Saccharomyces cerevisiae S288C: one gene and its partners. The gene in region 3 interacts genetically with the main gene of each other region. Each region holds a gene or a part of one and is shown on either strand. Other genes may lie near its edges. The genes, in order: MME1, MBA1, SLM1 and ISC1.

Region 1 (5,195 bases), on a different chromosome or scaffold from region 3:
GATACTCGTAAGATTAACATTAACTCGCTCCTTAGGTACTCTAATATACCCGTCTTTTGAAATCGGGAGTGCATTCTTTTCGTCATCGGCAATGCTTGGAACTTTATAATCCCCCAACTTTTGTTTCTTCTTAGGTTGATCCTTCAAGTCATTATCATTGATTGTATTGGCATCACGCGGTTGTTCGCTTTCATTTAGTGTCAGCTTTTCTGCCTCTTGGGAGTGGCTTACATTTGTTACCTTGGGTTCACTCAGTTGTCGCTTTGTAGACGATCCTTCAAAGTTGAACTGTTGACTTGAGGATAAAAATGACGTAATTTTAGCTTGTGAAGCATCTATTCTGACTAGTTTATTCTCTTGTCTTTTCGCTTTCCTTAGTTGACTATTGGCTGTCGTATATGAATTCTCTACCACTTGGGCTTGTCGGAGACTCTTCCTATTCCTATCACTTTCTATGGTGTCATTAAATGGTATCAATGACTCTGGCTTGTTTGTTGAAATTGAAGAAGCCTTGAAAGTACGTGAAGTATCAATGGCAGATAATTCGGCGTGCAATTGATTGGCGATTTTCTCTATGATCTCATCTTGGCTCAGGAAACGAACCTCTCTCTTTGTCGGGTGAACGTTAACATCAACAGCCGCCGGATCTATAACAATTCCCAAATAAATAAAAGGTCTGTTGCCCTTTGGCAGATAATTGGAGTAAACGCTGTTCAAAGCTCTTCTTAGAAGATCACATGTCACTAGTCTATTATTAATGAAAAAAATTGGTGAAATGGACTTTTTGGATATGAAATTCAAATTACACACCTTTCCATCAACGCTTTCCAGGTTTAAATCTTCTACTTTGCTGATATGAAAAGTAATTAAATTCGAAGCCACAGATTTATTGAACACAGTCCTAATCCTATCCTGGACGGTATATGAAGGTTTAACTGATAAAGAATAATTAGAGTCTCCGAACTTTTTACAAGAAAAGCCAATGTCCTTGGAATGAATGGCGTATCGCCCGACAACATCTAATATTTTAGAGTATTCATCATTATGGGACCTCAAGGCCCTTAATCTAGAAGGAATATTGAAAAAAAGGTCTTCAACTAGGATCGTGGTACCGTCTTTTCCAGCAACAGGTTTGGGGCTTTCCAACATCTTACCTTCTGCATATGAAACTCTCCATGCACATCTGTCTTCTTTAACTTTTGTCGTTACTGTGACTCTTGCCACATGTGAGATACTGGCTAAAGCTTCTCCTCGGAATCCATACGTTTGAATCTGACTCAAATCTTCGAATTTTTGTAATTTGGACGTCGTGAATCGCTCACATAAGATTGGCAGGTCTGCTTTATTAATTCCAGATCCGTTATCTGTTATTTGAAGTACCTTAATTCCTCCTTCCTTGACTAGAATATCAATCATTGTAGCATTCGCATCGATGGAATTCTCCATCATTTCTTTGAGAGCATTTACGGGGGATATTATGATCTCACCTGCAGCAATTTTGTTAACCACTGATGCATCAAGTGCTTTTATTCTGAGAGACATTGCTTATTGATAGGTCTATGTTATTTTTACCTTCCATTTACTATCACTATCGTATCAAAATTTTGCAGTTAAATTGTCCTAGCATGCTAGCGCGATTACTAAACACCGAAAACTGCTAATTTCTCGTCTTCGAGAACTCCTCAACTATAATGAAACAGCAAGCGGTCTCAAAAGTCTTTGGCAATAGCAGCGCCTCCTACACTATCTTTGCATGCAATAGAAGGTATCACATTCCTATTTTTCTTGCGATTGAACTCTAACTTGACATCTCTAGGACCCTACAACGATAGCGACTTCTTACATTGTGTTCATTAATTTGAAAAAACATCAAAGCAAGCCGAAAACAAACGCTGAGTATTCTAACGAAGCACGCATAATAATCTTCACTTCCAACCGACTGGTATAAAAGATAATGAACTCATGGAACCTGAGTTCTTCAATACCGATAATACATACGCCTCATGACCATCCCCCGACATCAGAAGGAACTCCAGATCAACCAAATAATAACCGAAAAGATGATAAACTGCACAAAAAAAGAGGCGATTCAGATGAGGACTTAAGCCCTATATGGCATTGTGTCGTCTCCGGTGGGATTGGTGGAAAAATAGGAGATTCTGCGATGCATTCATTGGATACTGTTAAGACAAGACAACAGGGCGCACCCAATGTCAAAAAATACAGGAACATGATCTCTGCATATCGTACCATTTGGCTAGAAGAAGGCGTGAGAAGGGGGCTATACGGCGGTTACATGGCTGCCATGTTAGGCTCCTTCCCGTCAGCGGCAATCTTCTTTGGGACCTATGAATATACTAAGAGAACAATGATAGAAGATTGGCAGATTAACGATACCATCACACATTTGAGCGCTGGATTTCTTGGCGATTTTATCTCCAGTTTTGTTTATGTTCCATCAGAGGTCCTAAAGACAAGGCTACAATTGCAAGGAAGGTTCAATAATCCTTTCTTTCAATCTGGCTATAATTATTCGAATTTAAGAAATGCCATAAAGACAGTTATAAAAGAAGAAGGGTTTCGCTCACTATTTTTTGGATACAAAGCCACTTTAGCCAGAGATTTGCCATTTAGTGCATTGCAGTTTGCCTTCTACGAAAAGTTTAGGCAATTGGCTTTCAAGATTGAACAGAAAGATGGTAGGGATGGTGAGTTGTCTATACCTAATGAAATATTGACTGGTGCCTGTGCAGGTGGACTGGCGGGAATCATTACCACACCAATGGATGTTGTTAAGACTAGAGTCCAAACTCAACAGCCGCCCAGCCAAAGCAACAAATCATACTCAGTAACACATCCACATGTAACAAACGGCAGACCGGCAGCACTTTCCAACTCGATTTCGCTCAGCCTTCGGACGGTCTACCAATCTGAAGGTGTGTTAGGTTTCTTTAGTGGCGTTGGCCCTAGATTCGTCTGGACAAGTGTTCAGAGCAGTATAATGTTGCTTCTGTATCAAATGACCCTACGCGGATTAAGTAACGCATTTCCAACGGACTAAGAGCCTGATTTCTGGCTCATCTAACTCTCTAGAGGATAATTTTATGTGATAAAACTTTTCCTACAAGCGGCTACAATAAAGACAGTACAAGGGACCTCACCCTATTCGCCATCACTGCACATCACAGTGGGTCTTGTACTTATCATTTCACATACATAGATATAGGTTCTTCCGAATAAGTTTTGTATATAGTCATTTACGGCAAGAATACTCATCTAAGTTTAATACGCATTTCTCTCTTCGTTCGCAGTTCCTAACACTGAGCGTTCTTGTTTGGAGGGCTCGTTTAAAAAAAAGTCTAACAAATGTGACAGATTTGCTTGAACAGGGTCCAAACTCATCTTGTATATCATAACACTACATCACTGGGAGACAAAATCGAAGTGCCCACGTGCTGCTCATTCTCTAAACGGTCTGTCGCGGGCCCTTTTCGTCCTTCGGTTTCCCTCCCTTTAGACAATGGGCTCTCTTTTCTCTATTATCTATCTCTTTTTCTCGGCTTTTCCGGCCAGCGTTGAAAGCAGCGCACGGTGAGGGTAGAAGGAAGAGCAAGGACAAGTGAAGAGTAGGCCATCGTGGGGGCTTGTGTTTATAAAGAAAATACATTCAACAATTTAGTAAAACGTGTTCAAGAAGTGTTAATCAGACCAATTGGACACTACACCTTCGTAATCACAGTTTTACCTTCTAAGAAACATACAGGGAAGAAATTACTGAAGATAGACACATCGGTCGATTATGCAGTACGTAGGCAGAGCTCTTGGGTCTGTGTCTAAAACATGGTCTTCTATCAATCCGGCTACGCTATCAGGTGCTATAGATGTCATTGTAGTGGAGCATCCAGACGGAAGGCTATCATGTTCTCCCTTTCATGTGAGGTTCGGCAAATTTCAAATTCTAAAGCCATCTCAAAAGAAAGTCCAAGTGTTTATAAATGAGAAACTGAGTAATATGCCAATGAAACTGAGTGATTCTGGAGAAGCCTATTTCGTTTTCGAGATGGGTGACCAGGTCACTGATGTCCCTGACGAATTGCTTGTGTCGCCCGTGATGAGCGCCACATCAAGCCCCCCTCAATCACCTGAAACATCCATCTTAGAAGGAGGAACCGAGGGTGAAGGTGAAGGTGAAAATGAAAATAAGAAGAAGGAAAAGAAAGTGCTAGAGGAACCAGATTTTTTAGATATCAATGACACTGGAGATTCAGGCAGTAAAAATAGTGAAACTACAGGGTCGCTTTCTCCTACTGAATCCTCTACAACGACACCACCAGATTCAGTTGAAGAGAGGAAGCTTGTTGAGCAGCGTACAAAGAACTTTCAGCAAAAACTAAACAAAAAACTCACTGAAATCCATATACCCAGTAAACTTGATAACAATGGCGACTTACTACTAGACACTGAAGGTTACAAGCCAAACAAGAATATGATGCATGACACAGACATACAACTGAAGCAGTTGTTAAAGGACGAATTCGGTAATGATTCAGATATTTCCAGTTTTATCAAGGAGGACAAAAATGGCAACATCAAGATCGTAAATCCTTACGAGCACCTTACTGATTTATCTCCTCCAGGTACGCCTCCAACAATGGCCACAAGCGGATCAGTTTTAGGCTTAGATGCAATGGAATCAGGAAGTACTTTGAATTCGTTATCTTCTTCACCTTCTGGTTCCGATACTGAGGACGAAACATCATTTAGCAAAGAACAAAGCAGTAAAAGTGAAAAAACTAGCAAGAAAGGAACAGCAGGGAGCGGTGAGACCGAGAAAAGATACATACGAACGATAAGATTGACTAATGACCAGTTAAAGTGCCTAAATTTAACTTATGGTGAAAATGATCTGAAATTTTCCGTAGATCACGGAAAAGCTATTGTTACGTCAAAATTATTCGTTTGGAGGTGGGATGTTCCAATTGTTATCAGTGATATTGATGGCACCATCACAAAATCGGACGCTTTAGGCCATGTTCTGGCAATGATAGGAAAAGACTGGACGCACTTGGGTGTAGCCAAGTTATTTAGCGAGATCTCCAGGAATGGCTATAATATACTCTATCTAACTGCAAGAAGTGCTGGACAAGCTGATTCCACGAGGAGTTATTTGCGATCAATTGAACAGAATGGCAGCA
Region 2 (4,680 bases), on a different chromosome or scaffold from region 3:
CCTCAACAAGATATTCACTTGAACTATTTGGCCCATACGTAGAAGATCAATCAATTGAAGTTAAAAAGGAGAAGTAATAATTATAGCATAATATATATTCATAATGTATAGGCATATTTATTTTTTATTTTTTTTATTTCATGTTCTATTTAATGACGAATCACGAAGAAAATATATCTAAGAAAAGATCTTTTGAATCCTTGATTTGCGAATAGTTTAAATGACCCAGCTTATTGCTCTGGTGAAAAAAAACTTTGTGCGGTCTCAAAGCCGTCGGCGGCAAAATAACGTGAATTGATGAAAGTAAATAAACAAAACAAAATCTCTAATTGTTGTAACACAAATACTAAGAAATTTGTTAGCTAATTCGGGACATGTACCAAAATAATGTATTGAATGCTATTTTGGCTTCTGAAAAATCAAACTTTCAATACGATAGTGGAACAATATTAAGAAACCACAAAAGACCAATAATAACATTTAATAACAACATAGAGCACACAGTATCCGAACCTAATAATTTTACAGGCTATGAGGAAAAGGAAGATTTGGATATAATGGATATTTGTCCTTATTACCCAAAAGCAAGAATGCTGGCGGATGCCATTCAACATGCCAAAACGAGCGCAAGTGAAAACAAAATGGAACTATCAATGAAAACTATCCCATGTCTCAAGAAGGAAAACGTCCATGTTGAGAAAGGGCACGATTGGTCTCAACTCAGTACGAGCAGAATTTGTAAAATTTTAGAAGACATAGCAGATAAAAAAAATAAAACTAGAAGGCAATCTGCCCCATTACAAAAGACGAAGTATTTCCCAACAAATGAGAATCAAAATACCGATATAGAAAATCAGAATTGGTCCCAAATCCCCAATGAAGACATATGTGCACTTATAGAGAAGATTGCTAGCAGACGCAATAAAAATCGCAAACGGAAAAATCTTTCATGTTCTAAAGTCCAAGAAATTCAGGGAAATATTGATTTACCCAAAAAAGACGTACAAGAGGGAGATATTTCAGATTCGTCTCTATTTGCAGCAGTAAGAGGAACCAAAAAAGTTTCCGGATATGATTACAATTCAGAAGATAAGATACCTAATGCGATACGTCTTCCTTACTGTAAGCAAATATTACGATTATTCTCACTTTTACAAATGAAGAGAAATGACTTAATAGTCACCTCTGAAAATTGTAATAGCGGAGTTTTCTTCAGCAATTTTAATTATCAACTTCAAGTTAAATCGAATTGTATTGCAAATATTTCTTCTACACTCAGTTTTCTACCCCATCATGAAATAACCGTATACACATCCTTTATTCTCTATCCAAACGTTGTCGATAATATTTGGGAATGCACACGATACGCTATTCAACTTTTGAAGTCCGAAGCAGCACAGTTTACGCTACTGCGTGATATATATAGTGGCTTCACAATTATACTTTCAAATCATCGATATCATCCTAAGGGTTTTAGCGCTGATTACTGTTACAGTGCAAATGAATTGACATTATTTCTTTTTGTTATTCGAACAGGGCAAAAAAAAGTACTTTATCGATCTATTCCTCACAACACAGCAGCAATTGAAAAAGACAGTTCTTTTGATACAGAAAATAGAAAGAGAAGGTCCGAGGAAGAGGTTGTTCTTAAATGTAGGAAGTGTTCTAATAATTCATTGGCATTAAAAGAAATCAGCACCTATCGTTTGGATAGCGCAGAAGGTTTTGAGAAGTCTCAGCCTCTAAAAGATGAAGCAAAGCTCAGTGATATGAATTATGTACAAGGTAGTATCAGCTATAACAGGACTATTCTTACCGGCTTATGGAAATTATTTCACAGATTGTGCTGCAAAGATCGTTATAGGAAAACCAATCTGTCAGAAACATTGTTCTATGACGATTCAACGGAAAGATGGGTTAGAATGGGAGAGTTAATGCACTATTGAAAGGGAGATGCTTCAATAACTTTTTTCATGAAAAACTATTTAATAAATTTAATATATATACTTCAGAATGAAAAACAAATGAATAGTTTTTACTGAATATGTAAGTGGTATGTGGAATAAGAAACTCAAATGAAGCAATGGCTATTTACAGATGTTCCAAAACTTTTCGCATTTATATACATATTGCCTTAGCTTGGAGGTAAACGATATATATCACCGTTAACTTTCATTCTGTGTATGGCAACTTTAGCATCGTCCTCGTAGCTTTTCGGTAATTTATCATTTGGTTTACTTTCAAACAAAGATCCCATTAAAATCATATCATTAGTTGTAGCATCACACAAAAAGGCAATATAGTCTACAACGTCACGGTCTAACGTCTCAGTCTTCTTAGTTTGCTGATTGACTTTAATTAGTCTTTGCTTCGTATCAAATTTGTAAACCAACTGTAAATGCTCTAACGGCATTCCGGGAATCATGATTGGTTGCACTGAGACTAGTTTAGGAACTGCATTAAACTTTATCAACTGCCAGTCCAGTGTTGCATTACCTGGAAGTTGACGGGACCTAGCCTCGAGAGCTTCCTGAACCCATAATGAAACTAACCCTTTGATGTCCGACAAATTTTTATGAGCAAATGACGTGTTTACATTGATATACGTCTCTATGGCTTTGTTTTTCCAGAGTAAAAAAGAAGGTTTAATGCCTGATTGAAAACGAAACAATGCGACTTGAACAGAGTTCAAACCAAACGTGTAAAGTCTTCTGATCAATGCATTTGCAACAATGAGAGGATGAGCAAATACATTTGGAAGGTTCTTGTAAGCCGAGGGGATAAATATTTCGGCAGCAACACCCAGGTGCCGAGGATTAAAATCTTGCTGCTTACTTTTATCTTTCTTCTTTGTAGTTTCACTTTCTTTATTCAAAATTAACCTCGAAGTTGAAAATAATCGCCGCTTGTTAAATGATATCAACAAGGATCTTGGAGGGAAGAAAAGGCATGTAGATCTTAATACACTCATCTCATAAGCTTAGCTGAATGGATAGGCTTGCTTTCTGATGGAAATTTGCCTTGCTTTTCCAACTATTCCATTACTCAGGTTTTATTTTTTTATTTTGTAATATGGGGAGAAGGCCGGCAGAATATTTACGGACAAATGAATAAATTGGATTGGATTGACTAGTGGAACGTGTAAAGATCGCGATACTCCGTACCAATCACCGAAAGATTGCCCGTAACCGAAATGACTCCATTCTCTGAATTTTTTGTGAAACCAATATCTGAGACTCTTCCTTCATCTTATCAACGTATTGTTCAGTCAATTAAGTAAGAAGTATATTTGAGCGCAGCCTTAATCATATATAGCACCAGTTATATGTTTGCCCCTCTCTTGAGTTGAAAAACACATAATACATAGTACTGTACTTTTCTCTTTTTCATCGTTGGCGAAAATATAATCTTTCTCAAAAATATATATATATGTATATATATCCTTAGATTTGCCGTTGACAATAAGGTGGGCGGCAAATCTACGAAATGCGAGGCGGTTAAAAGAGAGTGACAACATTTTCATAAAAATATTCTGATCTCAAACTGAAGACATAAAATAAGGATATGAGCTACATAGTTGACCTACAAGTGCGAGGATCATCTCTGAGGGTTATCAAATGTATGTTTAGAGAGGATGAGCAAATTTCTTCTCTACATTCTGGTTCTGACTCGAAACAAAACAGCAACAAAAAGCTGGGAGAATTTTTGAATCTGTTAAAAGCAGTGGTCAAGAGGAAGTTGGAAAGTTTCCCAAAAGACCGTTTAAAGACTTCGATTATAACTGGCCAAGAATTAATGAGAGAGGGGCAAGGAAGTATTGAAATTAAGGATCCACCAACGGAGGCGCAACAACATTTGATTAGAAGCCTAGCAAAAGTTTTATTACACCAGTTTTCAAGCATAAATGGCAAAGTTAACACAGTAAATGAAGGACAAGATAATTTGTTTCTATCCTTATTCGTTAAAAAAATTTCTATAGAGCAACAGTCCACATCACACGTCTCTATTAAATTGAACTTTCATGAGAAAATAAATTTGGGTCAGCACATAGATTCTATTTTAGATTCAGAGGAGACCAACGAGTCGGACACTTATCACATGGGATCTGTTGACGAGTTCATTATATATCCCTTTTGCTGTCTGGAAGAGCAAGATGAGCTGAAAAATGGCAGCATACTGTCCACAGAGTTCGACAAGATTGACTTAGAACTAGACGAGGATGATGGTTTTGAGGGAGAAACTTTAAACAATTGTATCAATTCGGTGGGAAATTTTGACATTCCACTAAGTAAGCAAACACTAAACTTAGTAAATATATCATATCTTCCAGGCACAACTTTCGAGGGCCAATGGGAATCGTTGTATTTTGGTAACAATATTAAAGAAAGGTTATATAGCTACGCAACTATATCTCTCAAGATAGCAAGATTCAAACAAACTGGAGACTCCAATCAAGAAGACATTACAACGCTAATCACAAATAATAAATTACTCCTTGTCCATGGTCCTCCGGGAACAGGTAAAACAACGTTATGCAAAGCACTTTGCCAAAAATTATCTGTGAGGCGGGAATTTTCAGACGGTTCCGATACCATTGATACTAATTATAAGGGGATAATAATAGAATTGTCTTGTGCACGCATCTTTTCTAAATGGTTTGGAGAATCGTCAAAAAATATA
Region 3 (5,819 bases):
TCGATGTAGCGATTTCAAATTAGTAGCGCTATTTTCAGGAGAGTCAGAAGGTGTATTTTCTTCAGTGATTCCAGGAGAGTTCCAATTGCTCGATATAGGAGTATCGCTCAAAGGTCTTTTCTGAAAAAGTGGTAAGTGCTTAGATAATTCATCATGCGGACCCTTTTCAGCATCAATTTTATCATCGGAACTCCGGGATAAAAGATCATAACTGGAGTCTTGACTAGGTGCCACATGGTGTGGAGATTGTGTAGGAGCAAGATCAATATCAGGCGGCACAGGAGATGTTTCAGAGAAGTCTACTGGTTTGAACATGAGCTTTTATTCCTCTTGCCTTTGTTCCCTTGAATAAACCCTTCTTCTACGCCTCTTGTTATTATTTTTACTCTTTTAGCTTATGGCACAAAAGTACACAAATAGATACTAAAAGGCGAAATTTATTTCACTTGATTTACCCGTAACTGAATACTTGAGTTTGTCTATATATATATATGTATACCTTTTATTGTTAAAAAAAGAATATGCCAACAAAATCTATAATAAATAGTCCATGTACTCCACTATAAATTAATTTGCTATTGTCAGTAATGGCGCGATTAAAAATAAATAGGAAAAGAAATCTCTCCTCAAAAAATCTTATGTCCCCTAATTTCCGTATGTTGTGATTTTGGTATTCAGAGATGATCACGTGATATAAACGTGATTATTATTATCGGTCGGGTATCCCACTCGTATAATATGACAAATACGTTCGATCAAAAGAAGGGTAATACTACTTCCCAAAATGGAAATATCAAAACGTTAGAAGAATTACAATTATAGCTTTGGTAACATTACTGATCTAAAAGAGCCTTAGCTCAGCCCGTTTGAGCTGTATAGATATTTTTTTAGTTTATTCGAGAGAAAACCGGTTTTTTTGTTAGTATCTTCAACAAAATTTTCCTAATTCAATAAGGACTTCAATTTCCATGTCTTTTCTACAAAATTTGTATGTTGCTATTTTCTTTTCTACTTCAAGTATTATTGTTCATCTTTTATTAACAAACTGGGTATGAGTTACCTTTTGAAAGCAGTCATATAAGTCCCGGCCAAACAATAAGATCTACTAGAGGTTTCAAGTGGAATACTGCCAATGCAGCTAATAATGCAGGCTCTGTATCGCCTACTAAGGCAACTCCCCATAACAATACTATTAACGGCAATAATAATAATGCCAATACTATTAACAATAGAGCAGATTTTACAAACAATCCAGTAAACGGATATAATGAAAGCGACCATGGAAGGATGTCTCCCGTCCTCACTACGCCAAAGAGGCACGCCCCTCCGCCTGAACAATTACAAAATGTAACGGACTTTAACTATACACCATCGCATCAGAAGCCGTTTCTACAACCGCAAGCAGGTACGACAGTTACAACACATCAAGACATCAAGCAAATTGTGGAGATGACACTGGGGTCTGAGGGAGTCCTTAACCAAGCTGTGAAGTTACCGCGTGGTGAGGATGAGAATGAATGGCTAGCGGTTCATTGCGTGGATTTTTACAATCAGATTAATATGTTATACGGGTCCATCACAGAATTTTGCTCCCCACAAACATGCCCGAGGATGATAGCGACGAACGAATATGAATATCTTTGGGCATTTCAAAAGGGTCAGCCCCCCGTTTCGGTAAGTGCCCCTAAGTATGTGGAATGTTTGATGAGGTGGTGTCAAGACCAATTTGATGACGAATCTCTTTTTCCTTCCAAAGTCACCGGTACCTTCCCGGAGGGATTCATCCAACGAGTAATTCAACCAATTCTAAGGCGATTATTCAGAGTTTATGCGCATATTTACTGTCATCATTTTAATGAAATTCTTGAACTAAATTTACAAACCGTACTAAACACAAGTTTTAGACATTTTTGTCTTTTTGCACAAGAGTTCGAACTACTAAGACCGGCTGATTTTGGTCCGCTGTTAGAATTAGTGATGGAGTTGAGGGATAGGTAGTATTGTATATTTATATAAGTCTGCTTGTAGGTTGTATTCTTCCATGCATGGGACACAAAAACAAAAATACGGAAACATATTAATATAACATATGGATGGAAGGAAATAAAAACATTCTAGTTTACTATACTTGTATTTATGATTTGAAATCGTTTATTGGAGTTTGAATATAAATATTGGGAACTTGATCTTGTAATTCAGAATCATTAGTATCAGGTAATGAAGACATGGATGTATTCGTATTTGTTTGATTGTCCAATTTTGGTGTTACCGTGGACCCCACATAATTACTATTTATATCATCGTTTTCATCATTTTCTACCATTGTGCTATTGGCATTACTCAGCTGATACTTATTAATGCTGGTATGGTTATTGGTTAGCTTGGGTTTCCCATCTGAATTCAAGTTTAATTTTTGTGTTATGAATTTATACTTGTCTTGTATATTCGAAGTAGATGTTAAGATCTTCAAATTATCAAACCAAGACATCATTGATTCATAAGAATCGGCTTTAAAAACCCAATTGTGACCACGACGAATTATGCCGTTTTGCTTAGCATGCAACACAAACTTAGCATCCGAACCAGTCGAATTTGGTGATGATGTACTGTTTTTCCGGGAATGTTCCGTCACAGTACATTCACTTAATGCTAACGACATCACTGGTACTAAATCTTTTTTTCTGTCCGCGGTCTTGAATTCATGTAAAAAGTTCGGTGTCAGCACATAATACCCTTTTGAATAGGATTTTAGAAATTTTGATCTTCTTTCTAAAAACCCTGATTTGATTTCATAAGTCAAAGGATCGAATTGGTATTTGTAAACGATTTCTTTGAATGTCCTCATCGGTAGATTAGGCAATAAAAAGTTGGGATCCCTTGAAATGAAGTTATCCCATTCAAATTGTGGGTCAACGTTGAAAAATCCAGAATCTAATTTGGATATCAATATATCGAAAACCAATTGTGCTTCTTGTCCCAGTAATCTGGCATATATTGTTAAAGAGTTTTGAATTTCCATAACTACAATTTTTTCTAATTCAGCGCCTGAAGTCTCTAAATTATCAAAAGCTTCATGCAGAAAGTTTTCCTCCTGAAGTTGCTTTTTAATTTGTCTATCAAGCGCCAGCTTGGTTAAGAATGGATCTTGTTTTGGCACTGAATAGCGCGCATCCTTTAAAGACTCCTGAAATTGCTTCATGGCCTGTTTTGTTTGTTGTAACTCTTTGGAACAAGAATTTTTGAAATCCGACTGCAGTGATTTTATTTCCTTTATCTTGACTATTAGATCTCTCCTCAAGTCTTCCAAACGAGGAATAACATCATTGGTCAATTCCCTTGATGCCTTAGACGCGCTGGATGCTAGGGATTCATGATACTGGTTCAAAATTGTTGGTAAGTCCTGTATCGAGCCATTACCCAATGGCAAAAAAAACTTTTGTACTGATTTATCCTCCTGCGAGCTTGGTTGGTATTGATTCTCGATCGAAAAGAATGGGAATTGTACAGCATGTGATAATCTTAGTTGCTGTCTAACAATTTCATCCTGAATAGAAGCGATTTCTGTTAAGTAAACGATCACCGACTTGATGACATTTCTCCAAGCTGAAAACCTCGCTGCAAGAATATCTGTTGGTTGCGCAGCTGTAGGGACCAGTATTACTAATGGAGATCTAGGATCTTGTTGTTGTTGCTGTTGCTGAGCAAGTCTTTGACGTTGTAAGGAAGACCTAGCCCTCGACAGTATTGAAGTGTTGGTTAAAGAGTTTTTCCCTTGGAGCTGTTTCCCGTTGTTATTATTGGGATCTGGGACAGCAATGGTTACATTGGTGTTCGAGTCGATATTAGGAGAACCATTGCTTATGATACCTTGCAACCCTCCAGAATTCATCGTCAGCGTCCTATTGTTTTGAAACGTTGAATTACTAGTGGAAGGAACTGGTTGTCCATTCAAATAGCTTTGTTGGTTTATATCGGATGTCAAACTGCCATTTTGAAAGCTTGCGCTCTGCTGCTGTTGCTGCTGCTGCTGCTGTTGTTGTTGTTGTTGTTGTTGCTGTTGTTGTAAAACGTTGGCATGATCTGCTGAAGTCATACTTCTCGTATGCTGCTGCAAGTTATGCAGGTGCTGAAGATTTAGCTGTTGCTGTGACAGCATATCAGAGACCGCAGAGGTCATTGTGTTGTTTTTCGACATTTTTTTTTCTTTTAATGTTGTATTCTTTTATTGTTAACTACTTTTTTTCTTTAAAAAGCTTCAAAAGAAGATGACCAAATGCAGATATAAGAACACTCTAATAGGTTGTACCAATTCAAGGGCTCAACAGATGTCCTCGTTGTTTTTCCCCCCCCCAGCTTGGATCGCTGTCACTCTTCAAGGCTTGAAAGCCTTCTCCCTTCTTCGATGGAATACGTAATGCCATGAGGGGAAAAGCCGCGGGAAGAGAAGGGTAACCCAATTTTAGGCCCCTGCAGGAACGTTAATCAATATATACTCTATCTAATGCAGTAATCTACGCTAAACATTCAAATGATCTTCATTGTGGGTTCTGCTGCTGCTCTCGGTATTCAGACTCTGCCAAAATTTCCATCTCTCTTATATTTAGTGTCTCCCACTCAGGTTCGCCAGTTTGTTCGTTGAACGATGCAATACATTCAAATTCAATATCCTGCTTGGAAAGTGACTCTTGCTCTTTTCTCATTTCCAAGGCCAGACTTCTTATGACGTTCTCACTACCCTGAGAAATGAACCACGCAGTCAGATCATCCAAGAGAACTTTGTCGTAGACGTAGTAAACATCATGGAAACGAAATGTTTCATGAATGTCCAAAAGCGCCCTTATGACTAGTCTCTTACCACCTCGTAGAATATAATATACGAATGTCCACGCTTTCATTGCTAGGTCATAGTTTCTATGTAGTGGATAACTCAGGGCTCTCCTGATACCTGTAATGATTGCAATCTTGATGAGAGAGCTGTCTTTATTAACCTTTGATATTTCTTTCATACCGTCTTGCAGTTCGTTCACCTGTTTTAATTGTTGGTCTAAGAATGATATTTGAGGGCACAATTTTCCCATGGTCCAAGCACTCTCTGTGGTATGAGTACCTTCGTTTTCGATCTGTTCAAACACATAACTGAAAAGAACGCTGAGTATAGTGACATAAAGTGGTTTTATATCTTCCACGAGATAAGACTTCTTGGGTAAATTGTCCTGCATCTGTTTTTGTTCCTCGTCAGTAAACTCAATTGGCATGACCAGATTTGGGTTCGTACTGTCTTTGTACCATTGCAGGTATTGCTTTACGATCGAAGGTGTAAACTTCAGTAGTTCTTTAATGCCGTTAATTTCCAAGTCTTCCTCGTTACCGTATTTATGTGTCATATACTCGGAAACATAGTACTCAGGATCAAACTTCAAATTTTCTTTTCTTAACCTTTCAATAACTCTATCGTTCGCGTCAGTGTGTTCAGGATCGTCTAATTCATTGATATCGTTCCCGTTGCTTGTCGACACTGATATAACTGTATCATATAAGTTATCAAACCCATATTTTGTCTTCAATATTCCATTATTGGTGCTGGAATCCATCTTTTGCTCTATCTCCCAATTAAACCCCTCTCCCATTTGACCAATAGTCTTCACATCATCTTTAATATTATTCGACACGCCATCAGTTTCGACCTCTTGAATAAGGGGCTTTTGGGTTTTTTTCGCATCAGTATTTTCTGTTAATGCATCGGCACCTGCAAGATCGCCTTGCCTAGCCAACAACTTTGTCGGTAGGTCCAAATCTTCGAAATATTCATTTTTATTCAG
Region 4 (5,213 bases), on a different chromosome or scaffold from region 3:
CGTCAGTTCACACTCCGGTTCCAAGTTGACGTTAAACCTTGTTCTCGCCTGGATGAGGTTCCTGCCAATTTCCAATAGATTCTGATAGATCAAGGGGATGTACTCTTTAATTTCCTGCTCGCTAAACCCGTTCTGGTGTAAAATCTTCAACTGCTGCAATACCGTGGACTTACCACTTTCACCGGCACCCAGCAGTAGCACTTTCAGTTCTTTGTCGTTGCTGCCACTTGAAGCGTCCGACAATGATGGTTGTGCTGCAACGTTACTCGACCTGTCTCTCAGGGCAGAGTCGATATTGATCTGTTGCGATCCGCTTGTATTTGCCGTAGCCGTGGGAGATATCGCGTTATTAATGCTCCCGTTTTGCTCCTTGCGGTCCTTAACATTATGCGGAGACGGCTGCTGCTGCCTCTGTTGTTGCTTTTCTTGTTGATTTGCTGTGTTGACTGTTCTCACAGTCTTCTGTGGCTCCTGCTTTGGTGGTACCTTCGCTTTGCCAACGTTGTCACTACCAGCGCTGGCGGTCTGCGTGTCAGGAGTGCTGCCGTTCTTTTCTGAAGATGCGCAGAGACCCATGATATTTGCTTGAAAATACGCGTGATTTGTGCTGTAACAATAAGGCTCGCTGTGATAGCAATTGCTCACTTTTATACCTATCGATTGCTCTTTGGGTAGTGAGAACCAAACCTACCTAAAGTTTTTCCACCCCTTCAGTCTAAGGCTGCACGCACGCGCCTATAAATCCTGCTGCTTATTAACTTTTTTTTTCGGTGCAGTATGCAAGAGGATAAGAAGAATCATTTGGGCGCAGCTGAGGGGGCTTGAACATGATGAAGTAAGGGAAGAAGAAATCGCGAACGAGGCAGTAGTCATGTTTTGTGACTGAATTGGCGGACTTCATTTTACTCCAGACATTTACTTAATGTGGAGCACGCCGGGCGCAGGGATCGTAATATATGGTATATCTTTAGTAATTATAAGTTTGATTCTGCCCCGGGTACCACGGGTTACCCGTTTCCTTAGCCTTTTGGATTTCGTCTTTTTTTTTTTCCTCCATTTTCACTTTTTCATTCAGTTACTAACTGGCCAAAAGAGACATTTTAGATATAAGAGGTATGAGAGAGTAGATATATGTGCGTGTGAGAAAAGGTAAGGGGCGCAAAGCATAAAACAGGTGGTATTATCGATCAACAGTATCATAAGAATGGCAGCTTCAGTTCCACCAGGAGGTCAGCGTATCTTGCAGAAGAGAAGACAGGCACAATCCATTAAGGAAAAGCAAGCAAAACAAACGCCCACTTCCACCAGACAGGCTGGTTACGGTGGGTCTTCAAGCTCAATTTTGAAGTTATATACGGACGAAGCCAATGGATTCAGAGTCGACTCCCTTGTCGTATTGTTCCTATCTGTCGGTTTCATCTTCTCCGTGATTGCTTTGCATCTATTGACGAAATTTACACACATTATATAATATCAGTAATTTTTTTACATATGCTAAAGAAAATCGATAATATCATTTCTCGCTCAAGAAAGTTTGCAGGTGGTGCTCCGCGTCCAGAACCTCTTGTTCGACTTCGATGAGGGCTCTGATTTCAGACCTGCCAAACAAGAAGGAGATGGCACCGTCGATGGTGCCCGAGATGGAGACAGCAATAGCGAAAAGGACCCAGAAGATGGAGGACCAGCCTGCCTTGTTTGCAGTAAACGTTGTCACGACCAACGACGCTATTAGGAGAAGTATTGAGGCCCAGAAATGTAGGCCACGGAAAAATTTCTGTCTTTGGGCTGTCTTCAAGTACGTGTGGATGCATTCTATCATGGTTTCGTAGTTGGAGTATCTCTGCAAGATCAGCTCTCTATCATGAGTCTTCGCACGCTTAACGGAGGTGGATGGACGGGACTCTGTGCCCTGTGGGACGATGTTAAGGGTGCATGAGTATGCAAAATGGTCAGAGACACTGCAGTCCAGGTGAGGGATCCGTTCAGTGAACCTGACACCTGCGTCTACTGTTTGCAAGAAATCAGGGTCGATAAGAGCATAATCCAACCTGCATGCCTCATCGGGTTGTCTTTGGGCCCTCCATGTGTTGAGCAGCGAATCGCACGTGGTACAGCCCTTAAGCAATTGTTGCAATGGAGACAGACGAGCGATCACCGCCAAGTCTTGCTTCCCATGCAATTGCTCCCAGGAGTCGACCAGGCCGGCCTCCTGCGTGAGAAATTTGTGGGGCAGTGAGCCCGGTCTGGAGTTTAAGTCACCCACCACAATCACCGCATAACCGGCCTGCCTGTAAAGCTTAATGAGCCTGCTGAAATCCCAGGCCTGACAAGATCTGTGGCACAAGTAGGCGGCATCACCCTGCTTGGCGTATGGGGCGTGCATGTGACTGTTCATTATTGCAATGGGGCGGGTTCCTGTGTTCAATACGGTGATTGCTATAGATTTCCCTACGTACCAGTCGCCACGGAACACCGCACTCGGTCTACCGTTTATCGGGAACCGGTAAAGAAAGGTCGACTCTATCGGGACCTTGGACAGTATGGCCAACCCAGGCCCCGTCAGAATACCAGAATGGAACAAACGCTGATACGGATACTTGGAGGCACACGCAGAAGCTAGATACTTCCAGTCTTCCACACACCAGATTTCTTGTAAGGCAATCACGTCGTAATCTTCGTTTTCATTACTATCTCCACCATTGGGCAACAACTCGTCAGATATTGGCGTAAGCATTGAGTGGCCCGCCAATTTATCAGCAATTGCTCTGAGTCTTTCTTTACGGTGTTTGGAGACGTATTTTAACCCCCATGTATTGAAGGTCAGAAACTTTATGGAATACGCTTTACTATTATCGGACATAATTGCGTTGGTCCCGTTCAGTGCTTCAAACTCAGATTGACCATCTTCCTTCCTCTCGTGAACATCTCTGTCTTTTCTGTTGTACATATATCTGCTTTTTTTCCCTTTTTACGCGGAAAGCGCAAATTTCCTCGAAGATTTAAGCCAAACCAAAATAAATCAAACCAAACCAAAACAAAACAAAAACAAAAACAAAAACAGGCTAAGCCGATTCAATTAAAACCGCTCATACGTATACAACACATACACACATACAAGAATGGCCAGCATAGACGCATTTTCGGACCTTGAGCGCCGGATGGACGGGTTCCAAAAGGACGTGGCCCAGGTACTGGCACGTCAGCAAAACCACGCGCGCCAACAGCTGCAACAGTTCCAAGCGGAAATGCGTCAATTACATAACCAACACCAACATCTCATAGATGAACTGCAACGGCTTGCCACCCAGCGCACCGCTCTGCAGCAACAAATACATGCGGCCCAACAAGCTACAAATACCACCAGAGAGCAGTGGAGAAGCTATCACGAGCGTGAATCTGAGTTATCTAGACGGCAGTCGACCTTAGCAGCCCAATCGCGCGAGCTGGACTCGCTGCTGCAACAGCGTGGTAAAGAGTGTGTCCAATTACGCGCACGTTGGGCTGCGCAGTCGGGTAACGATGCCGCAGAGGTCGCACTGTACGAACGGCTGTTGCAGCTTCGTGTACTACCCGGAGCCAGCGATGTGCATGACGTACGTTTCGTATTCGGCGATGATTCACGCTGCTGGATCGAAGTCGCGATGCACGGAGACCACGTGATCGGAAACTCTCACCCGGCGCTGGACCCCAAGAGTCGGGCAACACTTGAGCACGTGCTTACCGTCCAGGGCGACCTCGCGGCATTTTTAGTCGTGGCCCGCGATATGCTTCTGGCATCTTTATAACGCCTTTATACGCATCTGTTCAGTTTATTCTGGGCCTATGATTTAGATGAGGAATAAATTGGTTCTTACTGTCTATACATAACTTTTACAAGGACCCATTCTATATTAAAGGAGATTAACGCAGTCTTCAAATAAAGGCATCATCCACTTATTTTATAATATACTAAGTGATGATGATGTGGCAACGATATGCAAGGGGTGCGCCACGCTCATTGACATCACTCTCATTTGGTAAAGCTAGCCGCATATCAACAGTGAAGCCAGTGCTTCGCTCGCGCATGCCAGTTCACCAGCGTTTGCAGACGTTATCTGGTCTGGCAACCAGAAACACAATACACCGTTCTACCCAAATACGTTCCTTCCATATCTCATGGACAAGGTTAAATGAAAATAGGCCAAACAAAGAGGGTGAGGGCAAGAACAATGGTAATAAAGATAATAATAGCAATAAAGAAGATGGCAAAGACAAAAGAAATGAGTTTGGTTCATTATCAGAATACTTCAGATCTAAGGAATTTGCTAATACGATGTTTTTGACCATCGGATTCACAATTATATTTACTTTGCTCACACCTTCCAGTAACAACTCAGGAGACGACTCTAACCGCGTCTTGACTTTCCAGGATTTCAAAACAAAATACCTGGAGAAGGGTCTTGTGTCCAAGATTTACGTCGTTAATAAGTTTCTCGTAGAGGCCGAATTAGTCAATACAAAGCAAGTTGTATCGTTCACCATTGGTTCAGTAGATATTTTTGAGGAACAGATGGACCAGATCCAGGACCTCTTGAACATTCCTCCTCGGGATCGTATCCCCATCAAATACATTGAGAGATCTTCTCCCTTCACATTTTTGTTCCCCTTCCTGCCCACCATCATTCTGCTTGGTGGCCTTTACTTCATAACCAGAAAAATAAATAGTTCACCACCAAATGCCAATGGTGGTGGTGGAGGAGGCCTCGGCGGCATGTTTAATGTTGGAAAATCCAGAGCAAAGCTCTTCAATAAGGAAACAGACATTAAAATTTCATTTAAAAATGTTGCCGGTTGTGATGAAGCTAAACAGGAAATCATGGAATTTGTTCACTTTTTGAAGAACCCAGGTAAGTACACTAAATTGGGTGCCAAGATTCCACGAGGCGCTATTCTTTCTGGACCCCCAGGTACCGGTAAGACTCTCTTGGCCAAGGCCACCGCAGGTGAGGCGAACGTGCCCTTCTTGTCAGTATCAGGTTCTGAGTTCGTCGAAATGTTCGTTGGGGTGGGTGCTTCACGTGTAAGAGACTTGTTTACTCAAGCAAGGTCTATGGCCCCCTCGATTATCTTTATAGATGAAATTGACGCTATCGGTAAAGAAAGAGGCAAAGGCGGCGCTCTCGGTGGCGCTAACGATGAAAGAGAAGCTACGCTGAATCAATTATTGGTGGAAA

The links.
Region 1: mutations in SLM1 (region 3) and MME1 together harm fitness more than expected from each alone (negative genetic interaction), as found in Saccharomyces cerevisiae (2 studies listed by BioGRID).
Region 2: mutations in SLM1 (region 3) and MBA1 together harm fitness more than expected from each alone (negative genetic interaction), as found in Saccharomyces cerevisiae (2 studies listed by BioGRID).
Region 4: of SLM1 (region 3) and ISC1, a mutation in one rescues a mutant of the other (synthetic rescue), as found in Saccharomyces cerevisiae (one study listed by BioGRID).

Annotation. Positions count from the first base shown.
Region 1 is NC_001145.3:591,233-596,427, reverse strand, and holds MME1 (Mme1p), read left to right. Parts: upstream 1-1,954; coding exon 1,955-3,061; downstream 3,062-5,195. Other genes in the region: mismatch repair ATPase MLH1, read right to left, coding at 1-1,542; phosphatidate phosphatase PAH1, read left to right, coding at 3,800-5,195.
Region 2 is NC_001134.8:596,989-601,668, forward strand, and holds MBA1 (Mba1p), read right to left. Parts: upstream 2,972-4,680; coding exon 2,135-2,971; downstream 1-2,134. Other genes in the region: YPC1 (phytoceramidase), read left to right, coding at 1-77; YBR184W (uncharacterized protein), read left to right, coding at 375-1,946; PCH2 (Pch2p), read left to right, coding at 3,565-4,680. UniProt on the Saccharomyces cerevisiae protein: Mitochondrial inner membrane-associated mitoribosome receptor that spatially aligns the mitoribosome exit tunnel with the membrane insertion machinery and allows cotranslational protein membrane insertion.
Region 3 is NC_001141.2:165,447-171,265, forward strand, and holds SLM1 (phosphatidylinositol 4,5-bisphosphate-binding protein), read right to left. Parts: upstream 4,196-5,819; coding exon 2,135-4,195; downstream 1-2,134. Other genes in the region: PFK26 (6-phosphofructo-2-kinase), read right to left, coding at 1-315; MOB1 (Mob1p), read left to right, coding at 969-988, 1,074-1,998; YIL105W-A (uncharacterized protein), read left to right, coding at 2,218-2,358; Hsp90 cochaperone SHQ1, read right to left, coding at 4,536-5,819. UniProt on the Saccharomyces cerevisiae protein: Together with SLM2, acts as an effector of the TORC2- and calcineurin-signaling pathways. Phosphorylated and activated by TORC2 under favorable growth conditions. Mediates actin polarization via inhibition of calcineurin-dependent transcription.
Region 4 is NC_001137.3:190,531-195,743, reverse strand, and holds ISC1 (inositol phosphosphingolipid phospholipase), read right to left. Parts: upstream 2,948-5,213; coding exon 1,514-2,947; downstream 1-1,513. Other genes in the region: GPA2 (guanine nucleotide-binding protein subunit alpha), read right to left, coding at 1-576; Arf family guanine nucleotide exchange factor SBH2, read left to right, coding at 1,205-1,471; kinetochore-associated Ndc80 complex subunit SPC25, read left to right, coding at 3,120-3,785; AAA family ATPase AFG3, read left to right, coding at 3,956-5,213. UniProt on the Saccharomyces cerevisiae protein: Responsible for the hydrolysis of the phosphosphingolipids (IPS), inositol phosphorylceramide (IPC), mannosylinositol phosphorylceramide (MIPC), and mannosyldiinositol phosphorylceramide (M(IP)2C).